3 linked regions of the Styela clava genome follow. The protein of the gene in region 1 binds, or shares a complex with, the protein of each later gene. Links are inferred from orthologs where the notes say so. Each region holds a gene or a part of one and is shown in the gene's direction. Other genes may lie near its edges. The genes, in order: vacuolar fusion protein MON1 homolog A-like, regulator of MON1-CCZ1 complex-like and vacuolar fusion protein CCZ1 homolog.

What was found.
Region 2: the proteins of vacuolar fusion protein MON1 homolog A-like (region 1) and regulator of MON1-CCZ1 complex-like are in contact, whole or in part, in a cryo-EM structure (PDB 8JBE), measured with the Drosophila melanogaster proteins. The link is inferred for Styela clava from reciprocal best matches to the Drosophila melanogaster genes Mon1 and Bulli. Residues at the interface, in NP_608868.1 of Drosophila melanogaster: Pro416, Glu417, Arg419, His438, Pro439, Glu445, Arg448, Met473, Lys474, Glu475, Arg476, Glu494, Pro495, Val496; in NP_648047.2 of Drosophila melanogaster: Ile561, Arg565, Lys568, Asp590, Leu592, His595, Ser596, Arg599, Phe600, Met603, Phe631, Pro632.
Region 3: the proteins of vacuolar fusion protein MON1 homolog A-like (region 1) and vacuolar fusion protein CCZ1 homolog are in contact, whole or in part, in a cryo-EM structure (PDB 8JBE), measured with the Drosophila melanogaster proteins. The link is inferred for Styela clava from reciprocal best matches to the Drosophila melanogaster genes Mon1 and Ccz1. Residues at the interface, in NP_608868.1 of Drosophila melanogaster: Trp112, Gln113, Phe120, Leu142, Val145, Ile146, Leu149, Phe152, Val153, Gln157, Asp158, Ala159, Ile160, Thr161, Ser162, Ile163, His164, Ala165, Gly166, Ile168, Phe170, Phe172, Arg185, Arg459, Ser464, Arg465, Pro466, Leu467, Lys468, Leu469; in NP_647835.1 of Drosophila melanogaster: Lys48, Gly51, Leu52, Ile56, Phe59, Thr60, Thr62, Phe63, Thr64, Asp68, Cys69, Gln70, Ala71, Leu72, His73, Thr74, Gln75, Lys76, Thr77, Ala114, Glu115, Ala412, Asp413, Asn416, Pro427, Ala428, Glu429, Glu430, Val431, Gln432.

What each region holds. Positions count from the first base shown.
Region 1 is NC_135250.1:28,745,983-28,753,512, reverse strand, and holds the start of vacuolar fusion protein MON1 homolog A-like, read left to right. Parts: upstream 1-4,453; 5' UTR 4,454-4,571; coding exon 4,572-4,653; intron 4,654-5,854; coding exon 5,855-5,990; intron 5,991-6,757; coding exon 6,758-6,900; intron 6,901-7,530. UniProt on the Drosophila melanogaster protein: Part of the Mon1-Ccz1 guanyl-nucleotide exchange factor complex specific for Rab7 that promotes the exchange of GDP to GTP, converting Rab7 from an inactive GDP-bound form into an active GTP-bound form.
Region 2 is NC_135258.1:12,005,647-12,013,349, forward strand, and holds the start of regulator of MON1-CCZ1 complex-like, read left to right. Parts: upstream 1-4,628; 5' UTR 4,629-4,652; coding exon 4,653-4,757; intron 4,758-5,015; coding exon 5,016-5,177; intron 5,178-6,088; coding exon 6,089-6,148; intron 6,149-6,230; coding exon 6,231-6,317; intron 6,318-7,433; coding exon 7,434-7,505; intron 7,506-7,703. Other genes in the region: DCN1-like protein 1, read left to right, coding at 1,665-2,462. UniProt on the Drosophila melanogaster protein: Positive regulator of the Rab7 guanyl-nucleotide exchange activity of the Mon1-Ccz1 complex, possibly by enhancing its endosomal membrane association.
Region 3 is NC_135260.1:15,860,007-15,867,897, forward strand, and holds the start of vacuolar fusion protein CCZ1 homolog, read left to right. Parts: upstream 1-4,800; coding exon 4,801-5,037; intron 5,038-5,875; coding exon 5,876-6,067; intron 6,068-7,333; coding exon 7,334-7,456; intron 7,457-7,835; coding exon 7,836-7,891. Other genes in the region: sugar phosphate exchanger 3-like, read left to right, coding at 2,776-4,347. UniProt on the Drosophila melanogaster protein: Part of the Mon1-Ccz1 guanyl-nucleotide exchange factor complex specific for Rab7 that promotes the exchange of GDP to GTP, converting Rab7 from an inactive GDP-bound form into an active GTP-bound form.

The sequences.
Region 1 (7,530 bases):
TTAGTGATGCACAGCTATGATTTTTGTTTTATATAGAAATAAATATGGTCTGTATAAAGTAAATGATAAAAGTAAAATAGCAGAAGATTTTCTCTAATTTTTTCATGAGGAAACCAAGCTTTTTTAATCGACAATATAGATCAAACTCCAACATATTTAATGAAACTGACTTAGGATGGGATTTACGTATTAATCTCAGGTAAGAGGAAAGTTGATACAACGGCTAAATCATATGGCGAACCACGGCTTCTCCTCCGGTTACCAGTCAATGTTGAGTATGGGATTAGTTAGCCAGTGATTTGCTTTCGGAAGCATGGACGTGATGGATGAGAAAGTCATAATCGACCAGCGATTACGTGAATCACTCTACGCCAGAGAGGGTAATCCAATCGCATAAATTGTCGCAGCATGTGATTCGAACCTTCAAACCCGCGCAGGGTGATCAGAGGTGCGGTGGCGAGATTATTCCTAACGCTTACACCAATGCGCCACACCGCCGAGCTAGAGTCATTGACTCGAATCGTGTTGGATTTTAGTCACCATCTAACCTAGACTCATCTAAACGAGATTACTCTAAATTTTGCTTAACTTGGATTCAAACAGAAATAGGTAATCGAAATCGACTGTAATGACCAAATGCTTAGTACATTAGCCGTACAAATTGTACTAAACTCATTCATTGCTCGCTTCATTGATGGATGGACATTTTTTTTTTCTAAAGCGTACTATTCAAATAGTTCAAACATAACCATAGTTACTATTTAAATAATCTCAATAAGTAACTTATTACAAACAAAATTCTCAATGTAATATAAACTATACACAACTAAGAAAAGCATGATTTCAAGAATTTGATGTTCATTAGAGAAAGTCGAAGCTTAATCATTCGAACCCTCTTAGCGGGCTGTTGGGCGATCCTGCAATTACAAGTACTACAGAAATCTAATCGCCGATACAAAACATGTTTCCTTCAGTGCGCAATATTGCTATGATGACAATTTTTCTCATAATCATATATATAGTATACAAATATAAAATACAATTAATATATTTTACTTATTTTGGGTTTGCTTTCCTAGCTCCTTGTTGTTTTGTGCTGATTAATTTTTAGGGCGCGGTTTGAGTGAAACGACGAACTATTTTTGCGTTATTTCGTTCTAATTGGGGACCCGTATGCAAATATAACTATCAAAAGACTGTGAAACCAAATGATGAGAATTGCGTACTTAATGAGTAAAGAATATTTTAATACTACCGACAAAAACAGCGTGAAATTTTCTCCTTGAAATTATACAAAGAGACAATTTCTGGATTGTAATGTTAATAAAATAAAACATTTTAATAATTCTTCGAACTGTTGATTCTGTCTCCTCGTTTATTCACTGCCTCAGGTCCGTAAGCTATAGAATTCACATAAAACGCATGTATATTAGATAGTATCATCAGAATTCAAAACCAAATGGCACGCTATCTTGTAATCTTAGTGTGAAACCACACTGTTATTCATAATTCAAGTATGATTGTATTTTAATCATATATATATATATAGAATATGGCATGTTTACCTCTGTAGATCGTCTGTCAAAAACTTAACAACACAATTTTAAAGGTTACAAATCGTCACGCTAATAACCGAATTGCGTAAGTCATTTTTAGCAGTTTTGAGAAAAACTTAAAAACTTCCTAATGATATTGTTTTGCCATTGAGAGTCAGTAATTTGCCATGGTTCAATTTTTTGATCATATCCGGATTTAAGTTAATTTGTATGATGCAGTTATGTGACGTCATAATGGCGCACTGTGACTTAGGCAAAAATGTGTCTATGACTTGGGGATATACGCAATTTTGAAACTTCACTATATGCACCAGTCCTGAAAACTAAACATTCCAAAAACGAATGTAATTCTCAGTATTTACAATGTCTAATCCCCAAAATAGCTAATCAGTTTTAATTACATTATTTTTTATGTTTAAAAATATATATTTCATCAATATAACACGTTCTGCACACCCATCAAAATAAGACTAAGATTGAATATAAAGAATAAAACAGCAATGCACCCAATATAAAAGCCAACCATGGTAAATTGGACTCGGACAGTGAATATCACAAGTGCACGTCTTCCTATACTGTAGTAAAAATTCAAATTAATACGTGCTATGCTAGAATCCGAGATGCAAAAACTCGAAAATACTTCGCCGATTTTATTTTGCTTTTGTGACGTCACAATAGTCCTACGGTAACAATGATAATTCATTATGACAAAACAATAGCACAAATATGCATGTCATACTAAGTCTCCATTTTTATGGGTTTCGGAATTCCTAAAATAAAATCTGAGGGAACAGACAGGTGCGCAGCATTACATAAATACCTATTTTATAAAAAACTCAAAAACGCCAAAAATGACTTACGCAATTCGGTTATTAGCGTGACGAAATAGTATTGGTAATACCAAAATATTCACCACTCCCTAATTGAAAAGCTGGTTGACATACAGGCACAAACTCTCGTCTGGCTACCAGTTCATGTCGGGTATGGGGTTAGTGACTAACCGTTGTTAGTTCGCCAGTTTTTTTAGATGCATGTTGTTCAGAGGCTTGGTTGTTTAGGAAGCTGTGAACGACCAGTATTCTATGAAACAAGATTCGACTGAGAGTCAAATAATTCTTTCGCACATAATAATTCCCACAGAATTAGAACTTGCGGACACACACATGGTAATCTGAAATGCGATGGGATGCGATTCCTAACCCTTAGCACGTCAAGCCATTATCTTAAATATCAATCACTAAAATTGCGGTCTAGCTGTATCTGGTAATATGAATCATGTCTGAGGTAATGGAAGAACAATAAATATAGACGTGTGGTAAACAGTTGAGTCTATTCGATAGGCTTGCGAATACGGACTGGTTAACTTCACCTGTCCCAACTGGGAAAGAATACTGTTTTGATTTGCCGTAGTATTACTGCCATATTATTGGACACGAAAATTTCCTATTATGTTGTTGGTATTTTTGATGTTACCGTATGTAAATAGAAGTTAACATTTTTCACAGTGACTACACTACACTACTACACTACCTTTCACATTTTTCACTACCAAGGCAATTGCTTTGACATTTTGACTGGTTAAAGTTTTTATTTTCCCCCAGAAGGATATTACTTTTATTTATTTAAAACATTTTCTGTTGGCAATATGTGATTTTGTCAACCAGATAAGACATTTAAAAGTCTTCGAACTGTTGGTTCTTGCTCCTTGTATACAGTACTCACTGCCTAAACCCCCTAGGCTACAGAATTCACATGAAATGCAAATTGAGTTGTATCAGAATTCAAAACAAAATGGCGCTATATCTTGGAATTTTCAGATTAATCTCATGGGGGAGGGAAGCCGATAAGGTGGATTATTAATTTGGCGAACTCTCGTCAGAGTGTATAAATCACCAAGGCTTCTCGTCCGGTTACTAGGCCAAGTTCAATGTCGGGTATGGACTAGTTAGCCAATTATGAGTTTTCAGATGCATGAACTCGTTGGTGGAGGAAGCCGGAACCGACCAATGGTTACATGTTAAGAACAACCATTAGCGGCGAAGAGTTCAGCAATATTCTCGCAGATAACCATCCTCCATCTGATTCGAAGCCACGCAGGGTAATCAGATGGGCTATGTGTCACCGATAAGTTTTTGTTACTGTGTTTAATGAAGTCAGGAGGCCCAAGATTCTGGATTGGTTATTTATTGATACGACAACTCCACACTTTTAACATCAAAAGCAGCCGACCTCCAGCCGAATAAGAGAGTGGGATAAAATAGGATTTACATATTTATCCCGGGAAGAGGAAAGCCGATAAGACGGCTTAATTATATGGCAAACCACGGCCTCTCGTCCGGTTACCAGTCCAGGTCGGGTACTGGATTAGTTAGCCAGTTATTTGTTTTCGGAAGCATGGACTTGATGGTAGAGGAAGCCGTAACCGACCAGCGGTTACGTGAACCACCCTACGGCATCGAGGAGTCCAGCAATCCTCTCGCACATGATCAGAGTATGATAAGAGTATCTTTTTCTTCTAACGTGTAATGGAGGGTCGGAGTCGAATTAGCAAATTAGGGACAAGCATACAAACCTAAAAATTTATATACACATGATAAACACGGACATTATGGTCCGTGACAGATGACAAGCATATTTTTAACGCTTAGCACTACCTGCCACCGGTAACGCTATGTATTTGTGATAAATATGTTATTTTTCATTGTCTATAATCTGTATAATTGTGTTAATTTTATTTCTAAAGAATAGGTAATGAATAGTTAGAGTAGGATATACCTATTTATACCGGGGTTCGACGCGTTTTCATCAGCAAATTAGTCGGACTGATAATTTTTTGCGGCAGCAAATTCCTGATATAGTTTGACTCCGGATTTTTTCCGAAGTGGAAACCTGAGTGAAAAAAATCTCTGCATTTCATTTGTTTGGGTGAGGTTCTGAAGTGCCGTGGTGGGGTAGCGGAATACAGGAATACGCTACCGTACCGGTATCGCTGTGTTAGTGCATTCGAACTGAAGCATGTCAGTTCCAAGCGATACAGACGAAGTAGCTGTTACCGATGCCAGGCCGTCTATAAATGGACTGGAAGAAATTGAGCCAGGTAAGCCGATGGTGACGTTTTTAGATTGCGAATCCTATTAGTTTATCGCACAGGTCCGGATTGCCGACTTGGAGGCCCAAACTATCTTTGGAAGAAGGGGTTTTTCACTCACTTGATTTCTCTCAATGTGGAGGCTATTCTTAAAAATCGTAGAAATGTTGAATGTGTGGTATTATACCGGTACGGTACATCTGTAGGTATGTTTTGAAGAATTCACTCCCGATTTATTTTGATATGGTACCCGTCTAAGTCAGTAGTCCTGTAACTTAAACACCGCAGTGCCACGGCTTGCCATACTGTCTAGTAATTACTGCCATATAGGGTGGCTCAACCACTTTGCGGCCATCAACTTCATTGATCTAATTTATGTCGAAAAAATTAACGAACCGCGGCGTTATTTTTCACGCCTTATCGTCCACGTGTCCCTAAAAATGCGGTCACAAACAAGAAAGTTACGAGTCGTAACTTACGACCGAAAATAAAAAACAGACTATTATTCCATTAAAAAAACTTGAAAATCCATACAAATATAAGAGATAAAAAGATGAAACTTGGCAAGAAGGTCAGAAGGTAGAGTTGTGTTTCTTTTAACCAGCTTTAAATTTCCACGTTTCTACATTTAAAGGAGGAGAAATAGGAAGGCGCGCATTTCCAATACGTCAATAATATCTTTGTCGACCAATTTGCGACCACCGTGTTTTTGTCTGTTTGATTGCTGTGATGCGGTGCTTCAGTGCTTTGTATATAATTTGACAAGTTTTGTTTGAAATGACTGTGTTCTTAAAATATATGACGGTCAGAAATGCAATTAGAAGCCCAATTTTTTCACGCATGGCTGCGTATGCTCTAGTCTCGACGCTGCAGAAACGATGTTCAAGGCTTGAAATTCGTGGTCGCACACTGGTTGTTTCGGTCGCAAATACGTCTTCCGAGTGTCGTACTTCGGTGGTTTGTATAGCTTTAACCCCTGGTCGTAGAAAGTTAATTCGAGGTTTAGCGTGTAGAATAAATGCCAATGCACCTACGGTGAAAAAATTTACGGGTTAGAAATATTTGTTTTTGTTTTATAGCGGTTTGAATGGAACCGTCCGCAGACTGGCTACACCACCCTACTGATATACATAAGCCATCGTACCGGTATTGACTTCATCTTTTCGGGATAAATTTGTAAGTATTCAATTCTTTTTCCTTGAATTACTAGGAGCAACGGCAGAAAACCAGTCACTCGTTGTGAGCGAAGAACTAACAACAGAAACTAAGGAATGGGACGAAAATGCAACTGATCACCACTTTACCAATGCTGCAGGAATTAAAGACTTAACTCGGCTGATGAGAAGGTTAGCTGTGTAATAATATTAAAATAAAATGCATTATTTTCAAAACTCCAAATCACAAATTACGAAAATAATAACTTTTGCTCTGGAGTCTGAGAAACTTACAATCGGGGATTCTGGATTGAAAAAAGATGAGTTAATGAATTTACTGATTTCATGTTTCTGGGAAAATTCTGACTCCCTGGATGCTAGATCTTTGACACAAGACTCCGATCTTGGGAAAGTTTTAAAATATCCTCCCCATTCAGCCATTATCAAATATATTTTGATATTCTATTTGCTAATTACATCAAAATAAATGACGCGATTCATTTGAGATTTGTATATTATAATATAAAGTCAGTGCAATAATAAGTAATACAAGGAACGCAATGGTTTAGTGGTTAAAGCGTTAGACTTATCTTTGTTGACATTGCAGCTTACACATCTATTTTCCAATCCCCATGTTCTCCCAGTCTCCCACCCTATAAATTGCCTTGTGGTTCTCAAAAGGGCGTCGCGGTGCCCAAGTGCGTTGTTTCCATTTTGCTAGGGCGTTGCAAAACTTTTCTTATTTTGTGGAATTGTAGGCTACGCATGAAACTCATTACAAAAAAAGGTCTTCCATTAAAAAATATCAAGCCGTTTTAACGGGGAGTCGCAACTTGATCATATTTTTCGGAGGGCGTCGCAATATCAAGAAGTTTGAGAACCACTGGCATAGACAATGTTGAACCAGCAGGTTGCACACCCCGGGAATAAAACATAATTTGTATATTTAATTTTTCAAGTGTTTCTGTGAAAGCTGATGAAGAGAAAACGAAAACTCCAGTTCACAGAGCAAAAAGTGATTCTCATAAAACAGTGACAAGACATCCAAGTGGCAATTCACAACTTGGTGAATTCTCTGGGACTGACTCCATCCCAATACCCGGTATTAATGATGTTTTTGTATCTCTGTTCAATAGTTTTAACTCAAAGATGTTTTGATAAAATTGAGAAAACCTTATATTGTTGATTTTTTATATTACATTGATGGATTTTGCTTCAAAATGATTAAAACAGCTGAAAATAACTTTTTTCTTCGTAATAATTCAAAATTGAAACTACGACGTTTGGTTTTTTGTTTTATATCGAAACAGGACATTCTAGGAAACTGTAGGCCTACCTACGCCTGTCTTAAATCCAATACTCTCTAAAGCTTTAAAAACGACAGTAAACTACCAGATTTTGACTTCCACTCCAGCAGCATACTCTGAAAAAAAAAATTCTCATGATAAAAATTTGTTTTATTGAAGCTTTTTCAATTTTTTGATTCAAGGATGAGTAGTGTGGAGTTGTCGTTCTGTCTGAAAATTTGATCTCTGATTATACCTACCAAACAAGATCATGTAGTACTTAAATTCTCACTTATCATAAGCCGAGTTGCAAACTAAGGGGTTAATTGCAATAAAAATTTGACTAATACAATCATAACTCACTCACACTCAAAGGAAATGACATTATGCATAAAACAGCTATAACTCAAACCAAGTTTCCCCAATAAGAACGTGCAAGCAGCTCT
Region 2 (7,703 bases), on another chromosome or scaffold:
AGGTTTGTTGGTCCAGCCAAGCTATGACACTGGACACCAATCTTTATCGCTTCTCGGCCTTTTGGCTAAGATCAAGTGTAGTATCTGTTCTTTTCAGATTAATACCTGAAATGTGGGGTACTCCCCCACTCTTGTATTAATTTGATTTTTGTACCTCAGGGTTTGGTTTTGTGGCTTGCCACACCACTCCCACGGGTTGTCCTGTTATTGCAGTACCTCCAGGTTCGGCCCACTCTCCACATCGTGGAGATTCTTTCATACAATAAATAGGTAATTAGAAGTAGAAGGGCTTTCAGGACGGCTGAAGCTACAACCGGACGTCGGTTAGCCAGTCCAGCAGTCTTTCCGCACTTGATTATTTATCGCGGAGATCCTTTCATACAATAAATAGGTAATTAGCAATAGAAGGACTTTGAGGACGGTTGAAGCAATAACCGGACATCGGTTAGCCAGTCCAGCAGTCTTTTCGCACTTGATTATCCTTGCATAGGATTCCGACTTGCAAACCTACGCAGGGTAATCAGAGGTGTGGTGGCGAGATCATTCCTAATGCTTAGCATTGCTTTCAGAATACATGGATATATTTGGAATAGCAACTTAGTCGTTTTAAATCAGAGAATTGAGGAATAACTGACAGCCAAACAATATCTGTCATAGATAGATATTACACTTGCAATTACAATAATAACATTGTTTTCAAAGTATAGAATAGAATGTCTCACCGGACAGAAATGCTGTAGGCTAGTATTTTTACCACAATGAAAAAAGATCAGTTTGGTGGTTTTGTTACAGCCACCATAACTTTAAGATCAGAAGATTAGTTCAGTCAAATAGAGTGAGGGCCTGAGAGCAGATGGTGTCGCTTATCGGCCTTTTGGCCAAGATCAAGTGTAGTATCTGTTCTTTTCAGAATAATACCTGAAATGTTGGGTACTCCCTCACTCTTGTATTAATTTGAATTTTGCACCTCAGGGTTAGGCGTTGTGGCTTGCCACACCACTCCCCCGGGTTGTCCTGTTATTGCAGTACCTCCAGGTTAGGCCCGCTCTCCACATTGTGAAGATCCTACTGTCCTATGCAATAATGTTAGTTAAACAGAAGTGTAGTTGTAAGAAGGGTATGTGTAAAATTGCGGGTCCGAGTTTTACAGATGGCAGCTTCTTCTTGTGCATATTTACTTATTTTAAACGCCCTGAACCTCTCCATTGCAGTTTTTTTTTCAAAATGTATTCAATGAAAACCATTATTGGTATTATGCTGTGTACAAGTTTCACTGACCAATGACTATGACGCTTGTTTAAAATTATAGTGGCATTGAATTCACAATTTGAAATTCGTATTACAAGACTCATCGCTTTATATTATAGGCTATATGAATGTTTTGAGTCTTGGAGCTATTTCTGTATTTTGTAGATTTTCTTTTCTAGAGTTAGAATGTTGAATTGAATTGGTTTTAAATTTCAGTATAATCTGAATATACGTTGAAGTTTGCAGTGTTGTTTATAATTGAATATCAAGATGAGCTCATTGCAGCATTGTAGGGCAGTATGGTAATGCAAAGTCAGAATGTAGGTCCTGATGGTTACTTATCTAAACTAGATACCGTATGTAATGTCCACTTTATTTTAACAGGAATAGGTTATATAACTACCATTTATATCACCATGCATAAGTTGAAGCCATCTCAGAGGGAAAAAGTTCGACATTTCATGACTTTTACCCAGGCCTCAGAAAAAACTGCCATATATTGTTTGTCACACCACGATTGGAGGTTAGATGTTGCTTCTGACAACTATTTTACTGAACCTGAACTTTACTGGAGAGAGAGTAAACCCACTGTTGACAGGCGAAGGATTGAAGCATTGTATAATAGGCTTCGTGATCCACAAGATCCTGATAAGATAGGTGTGGAAGGAATAACTAAATTTTTGGAAGAACTCCAACTTGATCCTACAAGTCGTTTGGTGCTTATTATTGCATGGAAATTCAAGGCAGCTGTGCAATGTGAATTCACAAGAGCTGAATTTATTAATGGAATGATTGAATTATCAGTCGATGATTTGGAAAAGCTAAGATGGATGTTGCCGAATCTTGAAACAGAAATTGCAGACAAAGCAAAATTTAAAAGTTTATATCAATATACTTTCAATTTTGCAAAAAATCCTGAACAAAAGGGATTGGACCTTGACATGGCTATTGCCTATTGGAATATCCTTCTCGGTGACAGATTCAAGTATCTTGATCTGTGGTGTCAGTATCTTACAGAACATTATAAACGAGCCATACCTAGAGACACTTGGAATCTTCTTTTAGAATTTAGTTTAATGATTTCTGACGATATGTCTAACTATGATGAGGAAGGTGCTTGGCCCGCACTTATCGATGATTTTGTTGAATGGGCGAGGCCGATTGTTAATAATAATGGTCAAAATCAAGAAACTGTCATGCAAACTGATTCGTAATTTTTTTTTTAAATAATGGTGTTGGTTAACTAGATGTAAAAACTTCATAGCCGAATAGTTCAGTATCCTAGATATCAATTTTAAATTTCAATTGAGACTATTGGAAATCTCCAACTTGGCGTATATTTTGAATTTCATATCAAAGTGTGATTGGAAGATTGGATATAAACAGCGGGAAAAATTTTATTTATTAATTTGTTCCATTATTTTATAACTTTAAGTAAAGTGAATAAAAGATTCAAAAATCACACAAATACAGGTTATGTAAAACTGTCCATATTATGGATATCAATTCCTTGCATGATGTATGAGGTCTCACATATCTCACAGCTAACTGAACTCATTCAGATAATCAAAAGTTTTGATTGAATGTACAAACATTTACCTTATCAATATCATTTGAATGCTGTATGCACTAATTTGGCTCGGTTTTCAGTTGTCAGAAGACAATATTTTGGGGGTAAACAAGAGGTGTATTGATTTAGCAATATTATCAATATCACCCGTTTTGACGATATTGTTATAGGGTCGTAATCGGAATAGAAAATTACATTTACTGCTTTTAATTATGTTTCCATTTCTCCCAAAGCGTATAATTCGGTAATCTGGAATTGCTATTGGTCAAAAATGTGACATCTTCATTGGAAACAAGAAATTCATTTTCTTTCGACATTTATAGAGACGAAGATGACAATCTTAAAAAGCTTTTAGTTGTTATTGAGCCCAGAGATTTTTCTCAGTTGAAATGATAATTAGTTTATCACTCAACACCTAGAAAATTGTGTCAGTCGTTTTTCACCAACTCAAAACTTTCACAGCTTAATCATTATCAATGGTGCGAACTTACAGTACTTTATTCAACTTGACAAGTTATGCACCTAAAAATATTATCTTACGTGTAGTGTCACGCTGGAATCCACAGAGTGTTGTCTGATTAACCTCGATATCGGAGGATGTATTCGATGTATTCACATGATTTTTCAGGAATGTTTTGCATTCAGCCATTTCAATCTTGCTTTGTATTCTTTCCAAGAACTGTTGGCCATGAATACAATTTTATTTCATTCATGAATTTTGTTCAAAATACGTTTTCTTCTACTTTGTCACATTTAATATGGTGCAGTCATTTCATGTGCTGTGGAATAATATTGACTACAGTATTGTTTGTCATTTTGGTGTTTTATGTGACTTTGCCATTAGTTCAGTTTTCTTCATTTGTAATTAGCCAAAAATCCATGAGAATTTACCCTTTATTCTGGGAGCCATATATTGTTATAGTATATGTTTATGCACCCAGTTGACCATTGGTAATAACATCTGTTTTTTTTTCAATTGCTAATTAATTTTGCAACATTTCACTAAAACCACAATAAGTTCATTAACCCAAAATCTATATTAATGTTATTACAATTTTCTTGACATTTGTGATTTCCTATCTAAAATAATTTTGCTTCGAGCTGTTGAATGAATCGAATGTGTTTTTTTGATTTGTTTTCTCATTCATTTTTCATATTTTATTGTATATTATTAATAATATTTGCGAAAATATATATATCCTTTGAAATGGTTCATTTGGATAACCGGTGCCTTGTTATTCATTCTTCACACTCAATTGTGTTGGATTTATGGTTGAAAAAGTAATAGCGTATAAAATCTCGTATCATACGGGTTTGAACAGTATATTTTTAACATGAGGATTTAAAGGTTTGGCCAGACTCGTTGTAGTTTTTCTAGAATTTGGTACACCTGGGGTGGGCTTGTGTTTAACTGTTTAGTGTCCAACCAACTGGGGTTGTCAAATTACCAAACTTTAACACACTATTCCATCCAATATTATCAGACCAATGCACCAACTACCAGATTGTTGCATACTCATATCTAGGTATTTTAACACAGTACCATTTTATATTAGGGTTTTTTCCTCTTAGCAATATTTCCTGTTTAAGCCAGCTTTGAATGTCCAACTGTTTGTTTTGGTTTGGGGATGAAATAATAAATAGTTTTGGTTCCCTTAATTGTTTTGTCGCGTATTTTTGAACATCTATCCATTTATGCTATTTAGAAATCAATTAGCTGATTGAATACGTCATTTTATATGGTTATATTGATTATATTACTTAATTCAGTAGTCTATTAATTTTTTTGAACTTTTTTTCTATATTGTGTTTAGAAAATGTAGAAATTAACATTATGAGTTCCAATGCAAATAGTTATCTTGCACTATGCAAAAATTCAGTTCGATTTGATGCAGTTACAGCTGTCAACAATGTTTTCTTTGATGAAGCGAATAAACAGGTATGAATGGGAAAAGTTTGCTATTAGCGATAAAACTGTTTGTAACTTATAAAAATATGGTATGTATTTGACTTAACGTCTACACTGATAAATAGGCCTATGGCATATTCTATATATTTAAAATATAATTATACTTAATCGTTAGGAATTACAGTGTGGTATCACACTATGAAATTAGGGGGGGGGGGGGGGGGTTGAAATTTTACTGGTGTCGTTTAATTTTAATTTGGATATTCAACTTTTTAAATTTTGTTCTAGATATTTGCTGTTAGATCTGGAGGTGCAACAGGTGTGATTGTCCGTGGTCCTGATGACAGAACTTCACATAGTTTCAGATTGAATGATAAAGGATCCCTGATATCAATCAAGTTTTCATATCATCATAAAATACTGGCTTTGCAACGATCGGAGACTAGTATTGTGAGTGCTGCTGGTATTTGTTTGAGAGAAAATACAGGCTATGAGCCCTGTGAATGAAAAGAGAAAAGTAAATAGGTCGTAATATTGAATGGCAGTCTGTACTGTTATATATTTTCTAACTATAACATCAAACATCTGTGTTGTTGTTAAAAATATTCCATAGAATGGATTCAATCAAAAAAAGGGAATATTGTACGTATTTGATATAAAATTTTGCCAACTCTAATTCTGTGATTCCGTAGTTATTTTTAGAAGCATGGGCCTTGATAGAATGGACATATCATGTCTACGGTAATACTCTAATATGGTAACAATATTTATTCAACTTCTGATTATTGGAATAGTACCAAGCAAGAAAGAAGGTTTTATGATTATTTTGTCCATTTCAAATCTTATTCTAAAAATGGAATAAATGTGACTAAATTGAATAGGTGATGGGATTACCATAAATACACATGAATCATTTTATTTTTCTATCTAACGTAGTTATGGGTCTTTTGCTCCAAACAAGGCTCTGCATAAGCTATCACTACTATATAAGGAGTTAAAAGGTAATCAGTAATTTATTTCTTCACCATGGTGAAAATACATACACACTATACATACAAGAAATGAAAATATATGAAAAATCGTACTTCAGAGTGAAAGGAGATTAACGAAAACCAATACTGGTTATCGAGCGGCAACACCCTGGGATGGATGGGGTTTGGAAGGACCGAAGTTTTTTCGATTGAAAATTGCCTACCTATCCTATTTATTACATCTTGTTTGAGATGGTGGGAATGGTTGGAATTTGAACCCAAGAATTTGATCAATGGTGCAATCATAGTTAAATTTAATGCTTCACCATCATATACCATATTGTACTTCAATGTTATTTTAATAATATATGTTTGATGATTTATTCTCAGGAATTCGCAAACATTGAAGATGGGAGCCCAGATCCATCTGAATATTCACAATCAAGCAAGGTAAAATTTTTAAGACATGAAAATTCACTTTCTCTGCTTATACTTTTTCATCATGTGCAAATTCGTTTTCTTTTTTATTCAGGGCAAAAATAACAAGATTTTAACATTTCATTGGATAAGTACACATGAAATAGTGATGGTGACGCAGAGTGGCATTGAGTTTTATCAGGTATTATTTTGAATGGAACTCAATTGGTAATATTATGTTCAAAATATTGCCTCTATGAAAAATTACACTCCAATATATTTAAGCTAATTTTCCGTGGTTGGGATAAAGCGCACCTTTTACTAACTTGTTGTTGTTTTTGTTGGGTTTGTTGTTGCGGTGAAAAAAATTACTTTTACCGCATCTAATGGACTAATTAAATTTAAATATTCATTACTTAGATATGGTATGTTTTTACTATAGAGATGGCAATTTTTTGAATTTAGCCTCGATATTTTGTCTCAAATCTTGTTATTTTTGCAAACCTATCAGACTGGTTCAGTGGTCTGTCATCTTTTGACAAGCTCACTTGAAGCGTTACTAGTACAGACATGTAATGTGACGTTTAGAACTGCTGTAATGCGATTAGTCATTTGAATAACTTCTCATCCATATATTTCAGCATTACTCACATAATGAATTACATATTATATATACGGTATGTCAAATAACTATCTGAGCGAATATTTATACAATATTTTAGAATTTTTCATTTCTCTGTTTAAATTGAATCTTGATTTGTTATTATATAAAGCTTTGGTCTATACTAAGGGCGAGCAAAATCAATAATCAAAATTTTTGTGCCTGCAACTGCTAGAAATCCTATGTTAAATAAAGGTGTGGCCCGCGATTTCACCCAGCTTTTTGTATCTGGCCCTCCTGTAATAATGGTTGCACACCCCTGGTCCACACAATGTTGTTTCTTCTGTAAGGGAGATGGTGATGTGAATGATTAGCGTAATCATAATTCAAACTTGTAAAGCAAACATGGATTCCCACTCTTGAATGGAACAAAAAAAAAAAACATAAAGAATGGTTGTTACAAAATGGCAGAATCTCTTCTCACATAGCTAGCTAATTAGTGGAAGCTTAATGAAGTTAATGATGTGGAATGAGATTCCACTCTGGTTACGTACAGGTCCAAAAAATAGAACAAAGAATTGGCAGTATCATTACTGTTTTCGGTAAATCTTAAAAATAAATCTAAAGCATTGTAGATTTTGTTTAACACAAAAAGACATAATCAGCTAATTCTTGACATTTGTTTTTTAATCGTATCTATTTTCTGATCTTGTTTAGATAAATCAAGATAAACGTCAAGCAAAGCTGCTGAAAAATTATAATTTTCCTGTTAACTGGTCAATATTTTTGGTAACTATATTTTGACAATATTGCAATCCCAGTCTGAAGGTTAACATATATTATTTATGATGTTGTAATGAATATTGTATATTCATGTTTGTTAAGAATATATATTTAGACATTGCTTGTTTAAAAACTTCAAATTATGGAAGAACAGGCAACCCAATGTTTCACAAAGATTGCGAAATAAAAATATTTTGAATTTAT
Region 3 (7,891 bases), on another chromosome or scaffold:
TGCGGCATCAAGATGATCTCCCAATACTGTATCTAGGGATGCGGTGTATTCCACCATATCCAAAAATACCCCTCTATTAGAAGAGCCAGCCCGTTCATCGTGCCCACGGAGGGACAGCTCGTGACAACCAATGAACTTCAAAACATCTATCAATCGACCGAGAACATGGCGGTTTTTCTCGACGTTTTGGTTGTGCCGACGAATAGAAACCGCGCTGCAATATTAACATTTCCGAATGTTCGGTATTTTACTGCATTGTCCAGATGCTCCATAGAAGATTGATGATCCTTGGCACGCTCGGAAAGATGTTTAAGATCTCTAAAACCAAATTTACACCAACGTGAGTCACGGGCGGTAGCAAAAAGTAGGCAATAAAAACAAAAAAGTGCATTTTGTCCTCGCTGTAACACAACCATTCGTGTTTTTTATACCAAGTTTCTGCGCAGAATGTACGCCGACGCTTTTCTCCGTCATGGGATTGTTCCAGTGAACAATTTTTTGGTTGATAAGGCCCAAGACGTTGTACCTCTAATTTTTGTTCCAGCGGCAACTGCGAAAACGGAGTGCGAAGTAGTGCATCAACCTTATTCATTATGAGGTCTAAGGCTAAGAAATGCGAAGCCGGAAAGAAGTGAGGAGCTCAAAAGGAATGTGGAAAATCGAAAGCAAATGGACTAAAGGGGTCTAACTGATTCAAATAGTGAAACGAGCGACAAAAACGAAGGCGAGGAAACTATCAACTCTTCAAGCAACCAACGAACGAGAAGGAATGCGTGAATATGTCAACACGTTGTTGTAAGAAACGTCGGCATTGTGTCGTCATAATTTCGGGGCTAGCCCCGACAGCCCGATCGACCCGGATGATTTAGTAAAAGAAACAGAAAATAAACGAGATAAACGCGGCGAGTGGAAGATAAAAGAGAGAATACGATATACAATGAGCAACCGGGGCAAAATCGGCGTCGCCCCGTCGACGTTCGGCGAAGGCTTTGCGAGCGAAAAATGAACCATGTCGGGGGAATATGGCTAGTGTAGACAGTCTGTGCAACCGATATTGAGGTATTTTTCGAATATTTTTTATTATACCGAAAATAACCGGGGCATTGCCCCGGCCCCCGGTTGGCCCTATTGACGCGCTGCCACTGATAACCGTTAACCATCTGAAATCGGTAAACCATTCCCAGCCCTAGTCAGCCAAAAACACAACATAGCGCCGTTATGGATCATATTTTCATTGCAAAAATTTTAACGTTGCTTATGGGATAGTTTTGGAGAGTTGGCGCTTACAAATTGGCTCACATGTTTAAAACTCATTTTTATTCAAAACAATAAACCACGTGGCGCTGATAGCTAATATTAAGGTAGTCTATCGCAGGGCTACTCAACTATTTTTATCGAAGGTCCGCAAACAAAACTTCAAAATTATTTGGGTCCGGTCTTTCCAGAACTGATATTTCGGCATCCTTAAACGAGCACTTCCTCGACCGACTAATGATTAGTAGCAAATTAAAATTGTTTATTACGGTGTTATAGTTCTTTTCGTATATATTCAAAACTATGAAAGTCATTTTATAATAGAAAATTCAAAAAGTGGGGCTAATGATTCAAAATAAATAATTAGGTGCGGTCCAAATACAATACTCGAAAGGTCCGGATTCGGACCGCGGTCCGCCAGTTGAGTAGCCCTGGTCTATCGCATCGTTTGCGATATCAATTTTGGATTATTGTTGTAACTAAACTAAAGGTCCTCAGAATACATAATTGCAGTTAAGGTATTTGATTTAAAACTATGTTTTGGAAACACAACTAAAAACTGACGAATAAGACGCAAACCTACTAAAACGAGGCAATGTTTACAATCATGCTTGAATATCTGTCTGAGCGGAAAAGTGTCTCTGAGCGGCGGCTTATATTCCAATTACACGTCATTGTTAGCTTTTTGCTCATTTGTAATTGTAGGTAAATAAAAAGGACGTAAACAGGATCGGTCTCATCGGAAGAATTGACAAAAGGAATAGGTATAAAGGATGAAACATTGTCTATATGAAAGAAAATAGACATGGCGAGTTAGCCCTCTCTCGAACTCGCGATGTCGATCAACAAATATAAAAAAAATAGACATGGCAAGTTAGCCCTCTCGAACTCGTGATGTCGTTCAACAAATATAAACAAATAGTCATGGCGAGTTAGCCCTCTCTCTCTCTCTCGAACTCGCGATGTCGATCAACAAATAAAAAGAAAATAGACATGGCGAGCTAGCTCTCTCGGAAGAAAGCTCGCATCTAGGGTTAGTTCGGATACCACGATATGACAATGGCCCATGGCAGTAGGCTATATGGGGGTTCTTGGGGGGTGGAGGCTAACTCGCCATGGACCACTCGCCATGCGACGGCGGTTAACGGGTATGCCTGCAACTGCACGAAGGCTCTTCCTGTAATGGGAGATGGAAAGGTGGCTGTTTCCACTTACAACTTATAAACTAATCTATCACAAAAATTTGAGAAAGTGAGCATAAATCTGAAGCGTTAGAAGTCTTCAGTTTACTTTTTTCATGTGTCCTACAGAACATTCATATCATTCTTCTTGGTTTATTCTTTTTTTTTTCAGTACTTTTTTATCCCTATTATTCTCACAGTCATAACTGGATCATAAAATTGTTTAGTTTACAGCATTTGACTAATTACAGATTATAAATGTTAATAATGTATATATATTATAGAATTACCATGAAACAAAAATTCTGCTGACATTGACTGATTTAATAAATGTATCAAAATGTGGTCACATCATCAAATTGTGGCATTTGTTCTAACATATTGTGTGTATACAATATTTCATGCATCAAGAAAGGCTTACAGTGATTCTAAAGATTCATTTTCAAAAGAATGGACTCCACTATCATGTAATTTATCATGGCCTTGCCCAAGGCCTGAAGAAATATGGGAGGACAGACAATTGTTCTCAAGCTATGCATCAGCAGAACCCTTTCTTGGGCTCTTGGATTCTTTATTTTTAGTCTCCTATGCTATTGGAATGTATTTTACAAGCTTTCTTGCTGACAGAGTGGAACTGCGAAAAGCATTGGCCATAGCAATGTTTTTATCTGGCATACTTTTATTTTGTTTTGGAGTTTTAACTCAAATGTTACACTTTTACAATAAAGGATTTTACATATCCATGTGGATTTTACAGGGAATTATACAATCAGTTGGTTGGCCAACTTGTGTCGCAGTTGTTGGCAATTGGTTTGGTAAATCTGGGAGAGGCCTTGTGTTTGGAATTTGGGCATCATGTGCATCGGTTGGTAATGTTATTGGAAATGTCATCACATCTTCAGTTATTAATTATGGTTATGAATATGCATTTCTTACCATATCTGTTATGATGTTGGGTGGAGGACTGGTCGTGGTGTTCGGCCTTGTGAATACACCACTTGAAGTAGGTCTTCCTCCACCGGTTGAGACAGAATCTTTGGATAGAAGAACTCTAGATGATGAAGATTCCCAACCTCTTGAAGATGATTTCAATTCTGAAGACGACATGAATGTACCTACTAATGCAATTTTGGAGACTGTAGATAAAGACAATGCACTTACAAATACCACATTGGAAAATGAAAACACTGAAATTGCAATGTTGTCTAATAGTCATCAAAAGGAATCTCAACCATTGTCTTTTCTAAATGCTCTATTCTTACCTGGAGTTATACCTTATTCTCTCAGCTTCGCGTGCTTGAAATTAGTCAACTATGCATTTCTTTTCTGGCTACCGTATTATTTAACCAATCATTTCCAGTGGGATGATTCACTTGCATCTAGTGTCTCCACATGGTATGATGTTGGAGGAATAGCTGGTGGAATTATTGCAGGTGTACTGTCAGATGTTTTCAAAACTCGAAGCTTAGTTTTATTTTTCATGCTTCTTGGTTCGCCTTTTGCATTGTGGGGATATAAATCATCGCCAAACGATGTTGTCATTAACAGTATATTGATGTCCATCGTTGGATTCTTAATCAATGGTGTATCAAATATTTTATCTTCTGCAATTGCTGTAGATATCGCAAAACGGGAAGCTGTTGGTGAACACTCTCTAGCAACTGTAACAGGGATTATAGATGGAACTGGAAGCCTTGGTGCAGCAATTGGTCAATACCTTGTAGCAGTTATACAATCAAATTATGGTTGGAATTGGGTTTTCAATTTGTTTATTATTTCCAATGTAACAAGCTTGATATGCCTTTTTCCAATTTTTTATAATGATTTTGTGAAGCATTCTGCTTGTGCCAATCGTTTATTTGAAAGGTTACTCTCATTTCGTTCAAGCTATCGAAGAATTGATGAAAACTAGTGTAGCTTGTATTGCTTTTGTATGTTATGTATTAAAAAGATCTTGGTTTTGTGTATAATATATACTGTATGTTTATGTAGTGATATTTGTGACTTATAATACTAATAATGTGTCAATAAAAATGTGATTTGATAACCTATAGCCTCTGCGCTCTACCGCATGTATAAGGATCTTGCCATATTTTGGATGTTTTTTTTCTGTATTGTGTTGTTACTGTGTATAATGTATGCCTTTTCATGTTGGGGATTATGAGTTGAATATTATGGATTTAATTGCCAAATTAATAAATTGGTCATTTCTATATAGCAAGACTTTGTATCACGCTTTGATTAATGTTATGTATAAAATAGAGACTACTATATTTACTATTCACGGTATATAATAACCCTTTCCCAGAGTCGAATAATTTGTTTGTTTTCTTCATTCGTTCAACTCTATTGTGAAACTGATGTTATGATTCCTATTTTGACTGATAGTATTTTTATTTTTCCTCATATTATTAAAGTGCAATTTTTATTTCTTGAATTCATATTGGTACTCAACATTCATTTCAGTTCTTCAATATTTAAATATTGTATATATAATACTACGATTAATGATTTGTTATCATTGAACCGCTGTAATATGGCAACAGCAAAGTTGTCCTCTTTTCTAATATATAACCCTACTTATGGACCGAAAGAAGGCCAGGTTAGTATTACATGACATGTTTATTATGGTATTTACAGTAATTAATATTTTTAAATATTGTAGTCTAGATTGGGTGTGTGCAACCTGTGGCCCGCAGGTCAAATGCGGCCCGCAAAGAAAAATTGTGTGGCCTGTGAAACGAGTTTTTCATTTAGTTTAATCTGTTTTTTGTGCCTTCAACTATTAGATAGCCTATGTTAAATAAAGGTGCAGTGTGCGGTTTCACCCAGTCATTTGCATCTGGCCGGCCCTCCTGTATTAAAGGTCGCCCACCCCTGTTGTAGATGATTGCCACTCATGCACACCTTAATCCAAATCTGCTTTTCCGGGATTTGAAAGTTTAGGCATTTGATCATTCAGTAATAGTAAATCTCATCAGGCTATATGTGTATGTACAGGTTTAGTGAATAATTCTGTACCTGGCGGGAGATAGTAGCACTGTTGAATAAGACAAGCCTAGGCAATGAGCATATTATATCTTGGCAAATGTTCATATTTACCATCCAACTGAGTGATATCCTAGTCATGTGATTTTATTTGCACAACCAGGCAAACAAAACCAGAATCCATCCTCAGTCTGTTTGTTTATTATCATATTGTATAATGCTTGTGGCAGTGCCCTTTAAAACCGATTGAACATTAGATTTTGCTCAATGGTAAATATCACTGTGAAAATATTTTCCAATGTACCTGTAAGTGCAAACACCTCATGGACAAATGTGCGAGATACAAATATATATATAGCCTACAGTATATCTAGGTTACAAATTTATCATAAGTGAATTAAACTAAGTAGACTAATAATTGCTTCAAACACTAAACGTTGTTCTCATTTTAGGAACATTTGAAAGTTTTGTTCTACTATCCCGAATCAGAACATCCCGATGTAAAAATAAATAAAGTTGGATTATGTGAAGCGCTGATTCAATTTGCTAAAACTTATTCATCAAGCAAACCATGCGAAACTCTTCATACTCAAAAACACAAGCAAGTATTTTATGAAGCGGAGGAGAATTTTTGGTTTGTCATGGTAATAATCTTATTTACATTGTTTCAACTATAAATATATATATTTATAAGTTGTTTTATTTGACACGAAATGCTTCTATGGGAGATGGGATCCAAGGCGGCAATATGCCACTTAAAATTTTGCTGTTTTATTTTAATTATTTGGAACACATTTTTTAATGCCATGGGAATGTTTCTGTCTCACTCCTCTGAAATGAATTGAACTACAATCAATTATTACATTTCATTTCAGCAAACTTGGTTCTTAGTTATCGACACCAATGCATGACCTTCATGTTCATATATTTTAGAATTGTTCTTTTGTTTATACTTTACATGTAGGCGCTCCAGAAGTGTGTGTACCAATATGAAGGTAACTAATTTTGTTCGCCTATTTTATATCAAGTTGTGTAAAGGGACTGAAACCTATGGGCAGGTGGTATATTCACTTGGCTCACACAGACAGTCCCTGAACTTGTAATAGAACTAAAATAAGGGAAATTAGAATAAAATTATGGCCTAACCTTAGTCGGGCTGGTACAGCTGGTACACCTAGCCTACTACAGAAGTACCAACATATATTCCACAAATCTATATATTATCTTTTTCATGTAGGCCTACTAAGAACTTAACTGTCTATTTAAAGCCAATGTGAATCACTTACTACAAACATTTTTAACTGGATAAACAGAGTAAAATATTTGGTTTAGTTGTCTGAAATGAAAAACATTATTTTATGATTCATAATAGTATTTCCCAAAACTAAATAACATGGAGGCACCCCATGTAATAAGCTTAACTTCCAAGCACATTATTGCTTTTTTGAAAATGTTAAGAAGGATTGGAAATTTGTTTGTTCATGTCATTATATATTCAAGCAGGGCCATTTAAATGAGATTTTTCAAGTTGCCATTGAATCTTAGGGAGAAGGTGGCCATTTTACAAGACCCAAAATGTGAACTGGTAAAGTAAGTGGAAGGCTTTGTTACTGAATTTGTGCTTTTCTATGGTAAAATTCATATTTATTTTTCGGTACTCCCGTAGTGTGTGTACCAGGTTAGGGTTAGGTCATAATTTTAAACTGATTTTGCTCATTTTAGTTCTATTACAAGTTCGGGGACTGTCTGTGTTAGCCAAGTGAATATACCCCCTAGTCCATAGATTTCAGATCCATAATACAAGTTGATGTAAAGTAGGCGAACAAAATTACTTATCTCCATATTGGTACACACACTTCTGGAGCGTCCATTTATCACTGCCCGTTTTACAATTAACACTTATTTTGTAGACAGTATCAAACCCATGGAAAGAAACAATGCGAGATGGAAAACCAGTTAGAGAATATTTTGAGGAAAATATTAGGAGTGTTGTTTTGAAATCTGTACTGGAGCAAGCTTATTTTATGTTCAAGGTACATTTCTTTGATACAGCAGTATATATGGTATAGCACAGTATAAGCATATCAAACAAATGAAAAACAAAAATTATGTAAAATATTTAATCAAGCATGATTCATGCTTCACTATATCACTTACTCTATATAATTTACATGAAGACACAAATAATTGATTCCAATGGTAACATTTTTAATCAGCAGGATATAATATGATGCAAAATATTAGGCAGTGTCTATTAGGGCCACAGGAGAGTACATTCTCTCATTGTAACTAGTTATCCTTGATTATCATCTTTTTAGGCTGAATATAAAGTTTTGTCTGTTCTATGTCTTTTGTTATTTTATTTGCCATTTGAAGAAGTATTTACTGTTATACTTTACTGGTGTTTTTCAGCTTTTTATGGGAACCATAGAAAATATTGTCGCCAATGAGGACATTGAACATTTGAA